Elephas maximus indicus: one gene and its partner. The protein of the gene in region 1 purifies or fractionates together with the protein of each later gene. This does not show direct contact. Links are inferred from orthologs where the notes say so. Each region holds a gene or a part of one and is shown on either strand. Other genes may lie near its edges.

What was found. The genes of interacting proteins can lie anywhere in the genome.
Region 2: the proteins of RRS1 (region 1) and NIFK purify together in Homo sapiens (affinity purification with mass spectrometry; 3 studies listed by BioGRID and IntAct, counting the BioPlex papers as one, with this or other methods). This does not show direct contact. The link is inferred for Elephas maximus indicus from reciprocal best matches to the Homo sapiens genes RRS1 and NIFK.

Annotation. Positions count from the first base shown.
Region 1 is NC_064833.1:76,193,527-76,201,526, forward strand, and holds RRS1 (ribosome biogenesis regulatory protein homolog), read right to left. Parts: upstream 3,016-8,000; 5' UTR 2,911-3,015; coding exon 1,813-2,910; 3' UTR 1,289-1,812; intron 894-1,288; 3' UTR 340-893; downstream 1-339. UniProt on the Homo sapiens protein: Involved in ribosomal large subunit assembly. May regulate the localization of the 5S RNP/5S ribonucleoprotein particle to the nucleolus.
Region 2 is NC_064824.1:6,604,270-6,611,989, forward strand, and holds the start of NIFK (MKI67 FHA domain-interacting nucleolar phosphoprotein), read right to left. Parts: upstream 3,001-7,720; 5' UTR 2,942-3,000; coding exon 2,837-2,941; intron 1,685-2,836; coding exon 1,556-1,684; intron 1-1,555.

The DNA.
Region 1 (8,000 bases):
AAACTGTTTTATCAGTGAACAATAATCTTTCAAAAAGCCCAAGAGACCTATTTTACGGGCCAGTGTTAGAATCCCACTGCCAAATCAAAAACGCCTGAAATCAAAACCTGAAAAAACCCTGACAATTGGGAAGAACTTAAAAGGTGTTAAATTAGCAAATACTGTGAACTGCTTGGTTTTTGATGTTGTTGTTCATGGTACCATTAAATAGTTTAACTTGATCTTAGCTAAAACTTTCCACAATCACACTGTATTCTGAAAGACCTTAACAGTGTCATGTTCCTATCATTCTCAGGGGAAAACTTGGTTAATGATGGCCCAAACCAAAAACCTCCACCTTTAATTTAATCAGAAAGTATCTGAAGACAGTAACATTTGAACGTCTTTGTTTTTAATAACCGTTACACATCGACAATGAAATCTGATTTTTTTTTCACAGAAACCTCTACAAGTACCTTTGTAAGAGACTACACAGAAAAACTGAAAGACAAATTCTCCCTTTTCCTATCAACTGTCAGACTAAAAACAGCTGGGTGGCCCTTTGCTCTACAGCAGCACAAAAGTGCCCCTGGGTTTTAGATCAACTATGAATTCTTTTCAGATCTTTATTAGGGAAAGAGACTGATGGGCAGAAAAGTACACCAGGACAGCCATAAACATTTTCCCTTCTAATCAAAGCACCACCACAGCAGCCGCCAAGGAGTCAACTCTGGTCATGGCGACCCTGTGTGTCGCAGACAGTGCTCCACAGGGCTCTCAATGACTGATTTTTCAGAAACAGATGGCCAGGCCTTTCTTCCGAGGTGCTTGTGGGTGAACTCAAAACTCCAAATCTGTTTGGCAGTTGAGCGAACCACCTAGGGACTCCTCTAATCAAACCAGCTCAGGTCAATCTGACAGATAAAACAAAAAATAACAATGATCCAATTAAAGACTTTGTGGGTCTCTTTCTCTGGTACCCTATTTAACATGAAGCTAAAAACAAAAGAAAATAAACCAAAAGAAAAACAAATTAGGGACTTAAATATCCAGAAAACTTTAAATATTTTCTGGATTAATGAGGATTATTAGCATTATTTAGTTACGCCCACACTTATATTTACAGTGAACCAATAGTTTTCAAAGCGTGAAAAAGCTTAATATCTTTTTTTCAAACAAACATCTGTTGTACACCTTCAATACACTTGGTAACAAAACAAGTATGAGTTTTTCTAACTAAAGTGGTCTCTCTGAAACCATAATATAGCTGCTTTGTGTTTTTTCTAAAATGAATAAAAAGATTCTATACCTGGTATTCAGATGACAGGTTTCACTTGATTTCTACCAAAAGAAGTTAAAAGTAACACTGGATACAGACACAGCTTTATTAAATAACCTTTAAAATAGTTACTTTAAAGCCCACTTGAGAAAATGTTTGTAATCTTTCCTTTCCCTTTGCTTTGATAAAAATGAAGAAACGTATAAATCAGTAAGTCTCTGATATATGACCAACTCTCTCTTGCCCTATAGCCAACATTAAAAAGAAAAAGGCTGTTTTAAGAATAGACTCATTCCCACTGTCCATCAAATTCTTGCCCTAATTCTGATGCCCTCAAACGCGTCCTTTAAACTCCAGCCAAACCCTCCGTTGCAGGAATAACACTCATTTGTAGAGTCCAACACTTAAAATACCCTCTTGAAGGGAGGGCAACACTGTCCCTTTAACCTCAAGTTCAATGAAGGCAGCTGCCACTTTCTTGTGCATCCCGCTACTTTAAGTTTAACGTTTAGCATAGTTTTTGGTTTACAGAGGGGACCCAAGGGTGAAAACTATTACTTCCTCCTCTTTCCTCCTTGGTGCTGGCCTCCCTTCTTTTTGCCACCCAAGCCAGGAGGCCCAGAATTAATCTTGCCTCCAAAGCCCCCTTTTCTCCTCCCTTCCAGGTGGGGCGGGCCCCCTTTCCTCTTGCCCCCAGGGCCCTGCCGACCCCCCTTTCTCTTGCCCTTCTGGCTCATCTTTCTCTTCTTGGCGGCCTCCTCCTGGTCCTCCTCCCTCATCTGCTTATTGGTGGCCCTCGTCACGTCCAGCTGAGGCTTTTTGCTGTTCATGACTCGCAGCAGCTCCAACTGGCTCTTCTTCTCGGCTGCAAAGTCCCCGAAGAGAGGCTGAAACTTCCTCTTCTTGCCGGAGCCCCGAGGCGCCTTCTCCTTGGGCAGACGCTCCTGGAAGCGTCCCACAGAAGCGGTAGAGACTTTGGCCACTTGCATGGCGCGGCCCAGCTCCTCCTTGCTCTGGTGTCCAGTTGGGTGCATGCCGGCCGCACTGGGTAGCTGCATTTTGTGTGCACGGGCCAGGTTACGCAGCCGGTTCAGTTCGTTCTTGGCCACCCGTTCCTTCTTGGCCTGAACCCGCTTGGCGAACTGGTCCTCCAAGGGGTCGGCCCTGCCAGGCACCTCGATCAGCCACTCCTTGGTGTCGTCGCGGGCGCGCTGGTAGCCCCAGCGGCGCCGCCACTGACCGCTCACCTCGTCCCACACCAGATTGGTCTTCTTCTTGGGTCGTATGCCTTTCAGGCGCGCAAACTGCTGCCAGCGCGTAAGCGGCCGCGGCCGGGGCACCGGCTTCTCGCGAGGCAGGCGCGTGGTGGGCTCGGGCAGCCGTGCCACTAGCGCCTCCTCCACGCGCTCCGTGGGCAGCTGCCACAGCTGATTGATGAGCAGCTGCGTGTTGTCCCGCGCCAAGCTCCGCAGCTCAGCCTCCAGTGTGGGTCCCGCGCACCGCAGTCCCGTTGGGGGGTTCCGGTCTGAGGCCAACAAATTGCCTAAGTCAAACTCCAATTCCAGTTCCTTATGCACCGTGATACGCTGCAGCTTTTCTGCCTCGTCCCGCTCCGCCTTTGCTAGTAGCTCCTCCACGCTCTGACTCTCCATGGCTCTGGTTCAGCTCACTAGCTCTGAGGCTGAGCCTGAACTCACTTTTCCGCCGGCGCCGGTTCAAGTCCGGCAAAACAACCACGTGCAGACGCCCAGATGCTCGGTCCGGAAAAGAAAGCTTCACTTCCGGAGCATCCGGAACCGGCTTGCCGTCTGGGTGACCTTTCCCCAAAAGCCGGCAGAGGGCGGTGTTGGAGAGTTTATGGTATTAGAGGCAGGGCCGTTCGACTTGCGCCCGGATGTAGGCGGAGCTGGCACGAGTTGCGCGGACTACAAGTTCCAGAGCCTGATTGGGACCGCGGCTCCGAGATTGCGGGTGGGGGCCTCGGGGCGGGGCCTCGGGGCGGGGCCAATTGCTAGGGCAGGAGATGAAGGGCGTTCCGGAGCGACGGTGTTACAAGTTCAGGTTAAATATCTTGCAAAGATTTGTAGCCACCCAGCTGTTCTTGGGCCCTAATCCGCTCACCAGGTTCTAGGTGTGGACACATCGCACAGATAAACGTAGAGCTAAGTGCAGAAGAAGGTTTGGGTCGGTTTGGGAGCGGGCAGATGGCTGGTACTTCAGAGCTCCGGGGCTTTAGCTAAAGAGCACCAGGGACGTCTCGAATTTGCCACTTAGGAGCAGTTTGACCTTCCTCTGTTTAACTTGTCTGGGCCTATTTTAAAACGTGTAAGATGCGAGACTGTTAGGAAGCTAAATAAGCTAATGTGCCCCAAGGGAGGCTTAGACTAGGCCCTGGAACATGGGCGAACTGGTCAATGCATGTCAGCCTAAAGCTAATTATTTAATATTCATGATGGCTCTGGGAGGTAAGTTGAAGAGGCAGTGTTACATTGCGGTTAAGCACCAGGTTCTTGAGTCAAATCACCTAAGATCAGATCTGAGTTTACTGTTTACATATATCCTGGACAGGTTGTTTATAACCTCTTCAAGCCCTGTTGTTAGGTGCTGTCTAGTAAGTTCCAACTCATAGTGACCCCATGTATAACAGAACGAAACGTTGCCCAGTCCTGTGCCATCCTCATAATAATAGGTATGTTCGAGCCCATTGTTGCAGCCACTATGTCAGTCTATCTCATTGAGGCTCTCCTTTTTCACTTTCTACTAAGCATGACGTCTCTAAGCCCTGCACATTCTCAAAATGAGGTTACCTCAGGGTTGTTAAAAGGGTCAAATAATGACACTTTAAAAAATATGAAACATTAGTTCCTGGTACATACTAAGTATTCAATAAATGCTAGCTATAATTGTTATTAACCCTAGCCCACTGATGGAAAAGGAAGACTCGGAGAGGTGAAATGACTTGTCTAAGGTTATATACCTAGGAAATGTGGGAGCAGGAGGTATCTACATACATTAGTCTGCAATGTGTTCCAGGCTCTTGATACTCAAAGGGTTAATCAGCGGCATAGCATCACTTGGGAGCTTATTAGAAATGCAGAGTCTCAGGCCTAACCCCAGATGGACTGAATCAGAATCTTCATTTTAACAAGATTCTAGATGATTATTAGTATGCACGTCCAGGTTTGCGAGGCACTGCTGATTGTGTAACCTAAAGGTTTTATTTATTTTTTAACCGAGATTTGGAGGCTGAAGGGAGGCTTATGCTGGAGAATGAAGCAGCAGAAATTAACATACAAGTGGTTGGGAAACAGACTCAGTTGAGTTTCAGCTATAGAGGGCCCTAGATACAGCTCACCCACGCTACGTGGGCCCTGAGTTTGCTCTTTTCTTGAGCTCACTACCTTTCCTTCGTTCATTGATTCATCAGACATTTACTGAGCCCAGGTTATGTGTCAGGCATTATACTAGACTGTCCTTTCTTCCTCTTATCTAAATTAAAGAAGTTGAGGATTTTCTGGTTTTCTGTCTGCACTAAGTCTTTACTCCCAGTCATTCCATGGGGCCAAGGCTAGATCAAAGGCCGCATTAGGTAACTGCCTTGAACCTTAGAGCTTTTGCAGTTTGTCATAGGAGAGAGTTAAGGTTATTGATATGACTGCTCTGTGCTTGACTTGGCTGCTGATTCATTCATTCACTCAACGCATACTAAGTTAAATGGCTACTATGTGTAAGTCACTGGATACAAAGATCACTGAAACCTTATGGAACACTGGGTAAGAGAGGAGTAATATAAAGTGTGATTGGGCCTTTAGTAGGGTGTGCAGCTATGTAGGATTTAGCTCCTCTGTCAATCTTCGGGATCAGGAAAAAAAAGAGTAGAGTACAGGTGTTGAATGGGATGACTTCTCACTGGATGAAAAGTGGTCTGGATCATATAGGTCAGTTCTGAATTATTCCCTAATTGTTTTAATAAATTGTTTTTTATAGTCCAACTGGATTTTAATTTCCTTGATGACTGGAGGCTGAATTTCATTATCACTTTGGGTGGCACAGTGATTAAGACCTTGGCTGCTAACAAAAAAGGTTGGCAGTTCGAATCCACCAGCTGCTCCTTGGGAACCCTATGGGGTGGTTCTGCTCTGTCCCATAGGGTTGCTGTGAGTCGGAACCGGCTTGATGGCAATGGGTTTGGTTTTTGGTTTTTGCTCAGCATAGTGCTGAATACACAATAGGCACTCTACATGTGATTGATTGAAAGAATAAGAATTATAAGCTTTCCTAAATTAAGAAAAGTATTAACGTTAGCTGGTACGGTGCTTCAACGCTGGGCTGCTAACCGAGAGGTTGGAGGTTTGAACTCACCAGTAGCTCTGGGGGAGAGAAGACCAGGCCATCTGCTCCTAGAAAGATTACAGCCTAGAAAACCTTATGGGGCAGTTCTGCTCTGTCATATGGGGGTTGCTATAAGTCGGAATTGACTTGATGACATCTAAAAACAACAACAACAAATGTTGGCTGTGTTAAATTCAAAGCGAGTGAAAGTAGTAAGATTGCGATTTGGGGCTTAAAAATAATCTTGCTGAGGCATGTGGGTAAGTGATGGTCTCCAGCTTGCACTTATGTCATCCTTAACTTAGGCAAACCTGTGCAGTGTTAAGGGGGGAAAAAAAAGCCCTACCAGAAATGTGCAAATATGTTTAAACAATATGGCCAATAGTTGTACATGTTGCCCTTCCCCTTTGTTGGATTTCTTCCCCCTTTTGTCCCGTAAATGAAGATGGTTCTCAAGTTTGCTGTTCAGACCTGACTTCTTTTCTATCCCCACTCTCTCTGCCATTTCATTCACTCACATGTTTTCAGTTGCTACTTTTGTGTAGATGGTTCTTAGAAATACATCTTTAAACCAACCAACCAAACAACAAAAACAGTTGCCGTTGAGTTGTTTCCAAGTTATGGTCACCCATTTGTCTCAGAGCAGAAATCTGTTCCATAGGGTTTTCGAGAGCTGATTTTTCAAAAGTAGATTGCCAGGCCTTTCTTTTGAGGTGCCTCTGGGTGGATTTGAACCTTTAACCTTTCTGTTAGTAGCCTGCATGTTAACCATTTGCACCACCTAGGGACTCCTTTGAGGAATATGATGGTTGGTGAAAACAGGATCAGTTGATGTTATTATTCTCACCTAGTAACTTGGGCTTGAAACTATGAAGTCATCTTTGAATTTTTTTCCCCATCTCCAAATCTAATCAGCCTGAACGTCCAGTTAAATTTGTCTCTGTGTTGTGCCCTTTCCATTCCTGCTGCCATGACCTTACCACTGTCCCCCTAGACTGTATCTCTTCTGTCTACTTCTCCAGGTCCTCTCTCCACTCTGCTGTCTGCCCCTGGCTTCCAACTGTGTTCAGCCAGTGGGAGGCATTGGCAGAAGATCAGAGAGTGGGAAGAGTGAGGTCTGCTGTGCTTATCCAGGCCTCTGCAAATTATCTGGGTTGGTTGGTGGGTTTTCTGGTGCCATCAGGCAGCCCTCTTAGTGCAGACACCCTTTGGGGGCTTCTCTGACCCTGCCCTGGCCCTATAGGCCTGGGGTGATTATGACTCTCCACTATTATTGCCCTATTCTTTGTGGGTTACCTTAAACCCTTTCCTCATCTTTTAAAATATTTTCTCTATTAATCTTTCTTCAGTTGCCAGGTTTGACTGCTCGCTGTTTTCCACTGGAGTACCTGGGTGGTGTAACTGAAAGGTCAGAAGTTCAAGTCTACCTAGAGGCTTCTCAGAAGAAAGGCCTGGCAATCTACTTCTGAAAAATCAGCCATTAAAAACTCTATGGAATACAGTTTTACTCTGACATACATAGGGTTCTCTTGAGTTGGAATCGACACGATGGCAACTTTTTTTTGTTTATTTCGTTTTCTGCCTTATACCCCAGATGCTGTCTCCGGAGAACCCTAACATTTTCCTACCTCCATTTTCTCTTCAGTCCAGTCCTGAAGGTTTATCTTCCATGAATCTGGCCAAATCACATTCTCCTCTAAAACTTCCCTCTCTACCTTACAAAACAATGATTGTTCTTGGTCTTAGCTGTTCATGATCTGACCTCAAACAACTGTTTTTAATCATGTGTCCTGTGAGTCTTCCTTATGCTTGTTTTCTAAGTATTTCTTTCCCACTCCTATTAGATACTTGGTAGCTTTGGTGAAGTGTAAGACAATGCACAGTACTGCGAAAGTCAGCACAATTTGGCCAAGGCAAAGTCATAGAAGATTCACAGACACATCCAAACTCCCTGAGGGACTGAGTTACTGGGCTGAGGACTAGGGATCATGGTTTCAAGGAACATCTAGCTCGACTGGCATAATATAGTTCATAAAGAAAATGTTCTGCATCCTACTTTGGTGAGTAGTGTCTGGGGTCTTAAAAGCTTGTGAACGGCCATCTAAGATATCTCTACTGGTCCCACCCCATCTGGAGCAAGGGAGAATGAAGAAAACCAAAGATACAAGGGAAAGATTAATTCAAAGGACTAATGGACCACAACTACCACAGCCTCCACCAGACTGAGTCCAGCACAACTAGATGGCGCTGGACTACCACCACTGGCTAGTCTGACAGGGATCACAATAGAGGGTCCTGGACAGAGCTGGAGAAAAATGTAGAACAAAATTCAAACTCACACACACACACACACACAAAACCCCCAAAAAACAAACCAGACTTACTGGTCTGACAGAGACTAGAGAAGTCC
Region 2 (7,720 bases), on another chromosome or scaffold:
TTCAGTATGGATTGCACCTCAACATAAAGAAAACAAAAATCCTCACAACTGGACCGATGAGCAACATCATGATAAACGGAGAAAAGACTGAAGTTGTTAAGGACTTCATTTTACTTGGAATCACAATTAACAGCCATGGTAGCAGCAGTCAAGAAATCAAAAGACAGATTGGGTTGGGTAAATCTGCCGCAAGGGACCTCTTCAGAGTGTTGAAGAGCAACGACGTCACCCTGAAGACTAAGGTGCGCCTGACCCAAGCCATGCTATTTTCAGTCACGTCATATGCATGGGAAAGCTGGACAATGAATAAGGAAGACTGAAGAAGAGTTGATGCCTTTGAATTGTGGTGTTGGTGAAGATATTGAATGGACTGCCAAAAGAACGAACAAATCTGTCTTGGAAGAAGAGCAGCCAAAATGCTCCTTAGAGGCAAGGATGGCGAGACTGTGTCTTACATACTTTGGACATGTTGTCAGGAGGGATCAGTCCCTGGAGGACATCATGCTTGGCAGAGTACAGGATCAGTGGAAAAGAGGAAGACCCTTAACGAAGTGGATTGACACAGTGGCTGCAACAATGAGCTCAAGCATAACAACGACTGTAAGGATGGCGCAGGACTGGGCAGTGTTTCGTTCTGTTGTGCATAGGGTTGCTATGAGTCAGAACCAACTCAACCGCACCTAACAATAACACCAAATCTTAGGAACAATTGTGTGGATTCTGGAGTCCAATTGCCCACATTTGGATCCTGCTGTGATGCTTACATGGGTAAGTAACATTTAAGCTCCCTGAGCCACAGTTTTTGAATCTATAAAACTGGGATGATAAAATAACCATTCTCACAGGATTGGTATAAAGACATGGAATAATCCACGGGAGCTCAACATTATGTCAGTTAAGTACTCAGTAAATGTTACAGGTTATTAAGGCCAACTAGAAAGGTTTTACAATCTGGCATTAAATATTTCTGGATATGAATAAAACTCGATGATACGATTCTGGAGATAAGAAACCACTTAAAAGTTGCATGGCTAACAGACTGGGAATCAGCAGGTTCATTTCTAGCATCAGCTGTGGTGTAACTTGCTACCTGGACAAGTCCACAACTCTGAGTCTCAGTTTCTCTGCAGGGGGATTTTGGTAAAAATTAAAATGCCAAACCTATCTCACAATCCCAACTCTCAACAGGGAGGAGACAGATGGTGGAGGAGTGGAAGGGAAACCCTGTGAAATCCCAGTCAATTTACCACCACTGTACACAGATATAAACCTTTTGAGAAATGATCTGAAAATACTTATCATATGGCAAAATATTAATCCTTTACCCAACAATCCCAAGAATGCTGGAAACACCAAGCAAACAATCCCATATGTGACAATGCTCTGTAAACTATCAGTAAATGTTACCATTTATTAGGGCCAACTAGAAAAGTTTTACAATCTGGCATTAAATATCTTTGGATATGAATAAAACTCGATGATATGATTATCAAGGCTTATATACATATATTTGAAAAATAAGATAAATAACCTAATTCAATTTTAAAAATTTTACCTTTTTACTTCTGGACAATTTGAGTCTTGTAACAGTGCCAAACTGGGAGAAATATGCCTTGAGCTGGGGTTCAAAAAGGCCTCGAGGTATGTGGCCCACATAGACTACTCCAGGAGTAAGTTTTTCTTGCTAAGGATAAAAAGATCAAGTAAATATATATACTTTCAAATTAACAACAACAAAATGACATTGCAAGAAAACCCCCAGGTTTAGGTTCAACAAAGATGCCAAGAATGACCATGTATTTCCAGTTATTACACCTGTAATTAAAGAGTTAGTGGTTTAATGTCTATCTCCCCAGAACAATCATCAAGCAGACAACATTCTTCTCAGTTTCATATCCCACCACACTGTAAGGACTACAAAAGTCTATACTGGATCAACCAATAAACAAATAAACCTCTGAACACGTCGTTTTAAATTTCCTGCCCAGAGAACTTGCACAAATGTCCCCTTCAATTTTTTAGGCATACCACTTACTCGCACCTAATCGAAGAGATTCTAGAAGTCTGCTAACGTTCACAAGGAAAACTGAGCATCTCAGTTACCACATACCTACTTTTTAACAAGAGCTTTTAATTAGTTTCCCGCCCCGTGTATTTTACGCTGAAGGAGCCCTGTTGGCTCAGTGGTTAAAGCACTAGGCTGCTGCTCTGGAACCCACCAGCCACTCTAGGGGGAAAGATGTGGCAGTCTGCTTCCGTCAAGAATACAACCTTGGAAAACCTATGGGGCGGTTCTACTCTCCTATAGGGCCGCTATGAGTCGGAATCAACTCGACAGCAACGGTTTTTTTTTTTTTTTTTACGCTAAAATCAAAGCAAATATGAAGCTGATGTCAGGAGCCACAGTCAGCAAACAGACTTTGGAAAAAGCTGTCTTTTAAAAGAACTGCAAAATCACCAAGCGAGCACAGAAACCTACCGAGTGGTGGGCATGTCTGGGACGGGAACCCCATTTTCGCGGGAAAGCGGAAGCGGGACGGCTCTAACCGCGAGTTAGCCGCAGTGCGGGAGGGCCACCCCACCAGCTGGCGCTCTCTTCCTCCTCCGGCGTCACCCGTACCTGCCCGTGACCTCCCCGTCAGGGTCCCAGGCCCGGCCGGCTCCGGAGACAGTTCCTGAGTCAGTCGGGCGCCCACCTGGGGAGACCCCGGGAGAGCGGAGGCCGGAGCAGGGCAGGCGCGCCGGACAGAGGCTCGGGCTGGGCTCCGCGCGAGCTGAGGCCGCCGCCGCCCGTCTGCCGCCACCCCTCCCGGTCCAGGCCGCGGCGGCCGCTCACCTGGGTCGCGCGCCGGCGGGCCTGCGCCACCTGCTTCTGAAACCTGGCCTGGTCCTGCGGGTTCAGCGACAGGAGGGGCTTAGCAGGGCCGGAAAAATCCGCCATGTCCAACACACCCCAGCACAGACGCTCCACGCGGAGCTCCCGGAAATGCGAGGCCGTCAGCTCCCTCGAAGCGGAAGTGGAGGCGGGGGGCGGGGGAAGGGGTGAGGCGAGGCTTATGCCGGGGCGGAGCCCAGGCCGGACGCGGAGAGCTCGCGCGCCCCCTGCTGGCGCGCCGTCACACACCTTCCACCTGGCTAGAATGGCAGATGGTCGGTCACTTGTTCGGTTGAGCGGTGGTCAAGGCTCGGCTGCTAACCAAAAGGCCGGCCGTTCAAATCCACCAGGAGCTCCTTGGAAACCCTATGGGGCACTTCTACTCTGTCCTGTAGAGTCGCTATGAGTCAGCCTCGACATGACGGCAACGGATTCGAGTGGCAGTACAATTTTATGGGGGAATTAAAAATAAACTCCAAAACAGTATCATTGTCCTTGCCGAAATATGGCTTCATTCATTTACTCTTTCTTTTTTTTTTTTTTTACTCATTTGTGGTTTTGGGCCCCTGGTACATGTCCCTGTGTTGCTGCCTTGGGGAACTTAGAGCTTGGGGGCGGGGGTAGGACAGAGAGACACGTGGGGGAGGGGGAGGGGGAGGTGCCGGAGAGACGTAAGAGGCTGCAGGGGAGAGGCGGGCCAGGAGGGCTCCTGCAGCGGGCATCTGCGCGGCGACCCCAGCTGCGGTGCGGACCGGAGCACAGCGCCCTGTCAGTGGGGTTGGCATCCGCCGCTGTGATTGGAGCCAAGGAGCGAGGGAAGGTGGGCGTGAGGAGGTGCGATGCGCGAGGTGAGCAGGCGTAAAGCTTGGGTTTGATTTTAAATGCAGGGCGATGTGAGGGTTTTAAAGCAAGGCTGTGGCTATTATGAATTTATATTTTAAGATTTGTCGTTGTTAGCTGCCATCGAGTCAGCAACTTACGGCCACCCAATGCCCAAGGGAATGATCCATTGCAGATAGGACCTGGTGTGATCCATAGGCTTTTTACTGGCTGATTTTCGGAAGTAGATGGCCAGGTCTTTCTTCCTAGTCCATCTTAGCCTGGAAGCTCCGCTGAAACCTGTTCAGCAACACTGACAGACGGCCGGTGGCTCGCGTGAGGTGCGCTGGCCTGGTCTCTAAGTGTGGACAACAGGTTGCAGGAATCAGGCAGTGGAGGCTAAGCACAGGTCTAACCAGAGCTATTCTCCAGATAGGGGGCTTTGTGCCCTGGAACTAGTACGGGGACCCTGGAGGGGTGTCTAGTGACAGTCGCAGAGTGGGAGGGGGAACCACACAGGGCTGGCCAGCTGCTTCCTTTGCCAGGAGGCACGGCGTCCATGCCCTTTGCCCCCTTCCCTTCAGCCACCCTCAGTGCTCAGCTCCATGTCCCCCTCAGGGAAGGCATCCCAACCTGAGCTAGGATCAGCACGCCCTTTTGGACACTCTCTCTCATCACTGTGTTTGCATGGACAGGCCGGACTTTTGGGGCCCAAGCAGCAGAGGGCAATTTCATTCTTCCTCAGGAATGCTCCTTCTCTGAGCTGGCTTCTCCTCTCCCTGCATGAAATCTTGGGGATAGCTCATCCTTCCTCTGGTCACTCCTCAGATAGTAGTCAACAGAAGCATTTTCCAGGTGTTCAGAATCCAGTGTTAAATTCTCCTTACCTGGTGAGCCTGAGGCTGAGAAATTCTCGGCTGTGTCTTCTTTCTTGTGCCCTGGGTATAAGTTGGGTCCTCTGCAGGGCTGGAACAGGAGAGAGCAGAGGGAGGGACAGGAAGGGACTATGTGACTGGCAGGTGTCGGGTGGCCCAAGAGCTTCTGGCTGCTGGCTCTTTCCCTACAAGGGCACTTTTTCATTTTTAATTGTGATGAAGTATATATAACATAGATAATGAGCCTGGTGGCTCAGTGGTTAAGAGCTCAGGTTTCTAACCAAAAGGCTGGCAGTTTGGATCCACCAGCTGCTCCTTGGAAACCCTATGGGGCAGTTTTACTTTGTCCTGTAGAGTTGCTATGAGTCAGAATTGACGTGACAGCAGGAGGCCACGGGTCATGTGCAACAAAGCACCTGCCTTTCTGCCCTCTGTACATGTACAATTCAGCTATTAATTACATTCACCATGTTGTGCTACCATCATCAGTTTCCAATTTTTTTCTTCAGCTTTAACTCAGGGCCTTTTAAGCAATAGTTCCCTTCCCCCCCCCCGCCCCCCCCACCCAGCCCAAATGCCCCTGCTAACTACTTATCTATTTTGGTCTCCTTTCGTTTGCCTGTCCTAGATATTTCATGTAAGCGGGATCAAACAATGTTCGTCATTCTGTGACTGACTTACTTCACTTTCTGAATGTACTTTTGAAGTGGTCTCTGCCTGGTTGCTGTACTTCCAGGGGCTCTTCTTGGGAAGGCCTTCCTAAGCTAACCCTGGTCCTGATCCTTCAGTAAGGGCTCTCCAAACACAGCCTTCGCTTTCTTTGTGCCGCTGCCGGGCAGCCCTGGCTGGTCCCAAAGTTTGGTGCATAAGGCAGGAACAGATCTCTGAATCCTCCAAATTCCAGAGAATGAAAACCAAGCTCTCCATTTCTCTAAAGACCCCTCCCTTCGTGTCTGTGTGTGTGAGACACCCCCTCCTTTCCCAGAATGGGGCTTGGGGGAGGAGAGAGGAGGAAGGGAGCAGGGAAGGGAAGACAGCAAACTGAAGTTTCTCTTCCAGCATAGCCTCCCTGTTTCCCCACCACCTCCACGAACTCCTGACCTCCCTTTGCATCCATAGGAGTAACTCAAGGTTGGGACACCTGCTGCCAGTTTGTTAGCACAGTGCTTCTCAGACCTAACAAAGCATGCAATTACCTGCAGATTTGGCCACGGGGCAAGCTCTGACCCAGTTGGCATGGGGTAGGGCCTCAGGTTCTGTGTTTCTAACAAGCTCCCAGGTGGGTCTGATGCACCTATTTCTTAAAATGACCTCTGAGCACTGCTTTTGCTGTGTCCCAAAGGTTTTGGTATGATGGGTTTTCATTCTCGTTTGGTTCTAGGATTCACAAAAAACTTTCATTGCAATGTTATTTATAATAGAAAAAACTGGAAACAACACAAATAGCCTATGACAAAAGACTGAGTAATAAACATGGCGTGTCCATTCAATGGATAAACACATTAAATATGTCTGCATTTCAAAAATTATCAAAGTAAAACTGGGAAAATGTTTTCATGTGACAAGAATGTCTTAGTTTTCTAGTGTCCTAGTACAGGTATAACAAAAAATAACACAAGTGGGTGGTTTTTTCTTTAAAGAGATGGAAAAACTAATCTTTATACAGATAAGTAAAACACTATTGAAGAAGAAGAATAAAGTAGGAGGACTCGCACTACCTGACCTCAGAACCTACTGTACAGCTACTGTAGTCAAAATAGTCCGGTAGTGGTACAATGACAGATACATTGACCAATGGAACAGAATTGAGAGCCCAGATATAAATCTATCCAACTACAGTCACCTGATCTTCGACAAGGGCCCAAAGTCCATCAAATGGGGAAAAAACAGGATTTTTAACAAATGATGCTGGCAAAGCTGGATGTCCATCTGCAAAAATATGAAACAAGGCCCATACCTCACAGCATGCACAAAAACTAATTCAAAATGGATCAAAGATCTAAATATAAAACCAAAAACTATAAAGATCATAGAAGTAAAAATACGATCAATGCTAGAGGCCCTACTACATGGTGTTAACAGAATACAAACCGTAACTAACAATACACAAGCTCCAGAAAATAAGCTGGATAACTGAGATCTTCTAAATATTAAACACATATGTTCATCAAAAGACTTTACTGAAAGAGTAAAAAGAGAATCTACAGACTGGGAAAGATTTTGGCTGTGACAAATCTAACAAAAGTCTAATCTCTAAAATCTCCAGGAAAAGCCAACCCCTCTGCAACAAAGGAAAGACAAAAAATCCAATCAGAAAATGGCCAAAGGAAATAAGCAGACACTCTACCAAAGAAACCATTCAAATGCCTAACAGACACATGAGGAAATGCTCGAGATCATGCACCATTAGAGGAAAGCAAATCAAAACCACAGTGAGACACTGTCTCACCCTGGTGTTACTCGTGCTAATCAAAAAAACAGAAAATAGCAAATGTTGTCGAGGTTGTGGGGAGATTGCAACTCTTATACACTGCTAGTGGGAATGCAAAATGGTACAACCATTTTGGAAAACAATATGATGCTTCCTTAGAAAGCTAGAAACAGAAATACCATATGATCCAGCAATCCCACTCCAAGGAATATATCCTAGAGAAATGAGTCATCACAAGAATAGACATATACACACCATGTTGTCTGCAGCATTATTCACAATAGCAAAAAGATAGAAACAACCTAGATGCCCATCAACAGACGAATGGGTAAACAAACCATGGTACATTCACACGATGGAGTACTATGCAATGATAAATAAGAATGATGAATCTGTGAAGCATCTCACAACATGAATGAATCTGGAGGGCATTATGCTGAGTGAAATAAGTCAATCACAGAAGGACAAATATTGTATGGCACTGCTACTGTAAAAACTCATGGAAAGGTTTATACACAAAAAAGAAACAACCTTTGACAGTTATGAGGGAGGGAAGGAATGGGGATGGAAAAACACCAAACAGGCAAGTGGTAACTTTGGTGAAGGGTAAGACAGTACACAATACTAGGGAAGTCAGCACAGCTTGACCAAGGCAAAGTCATAGAAGCTTCATAGACACATCCAAACTCCCTGAGGGACTGAGTTACTGGGCTGAGGGCT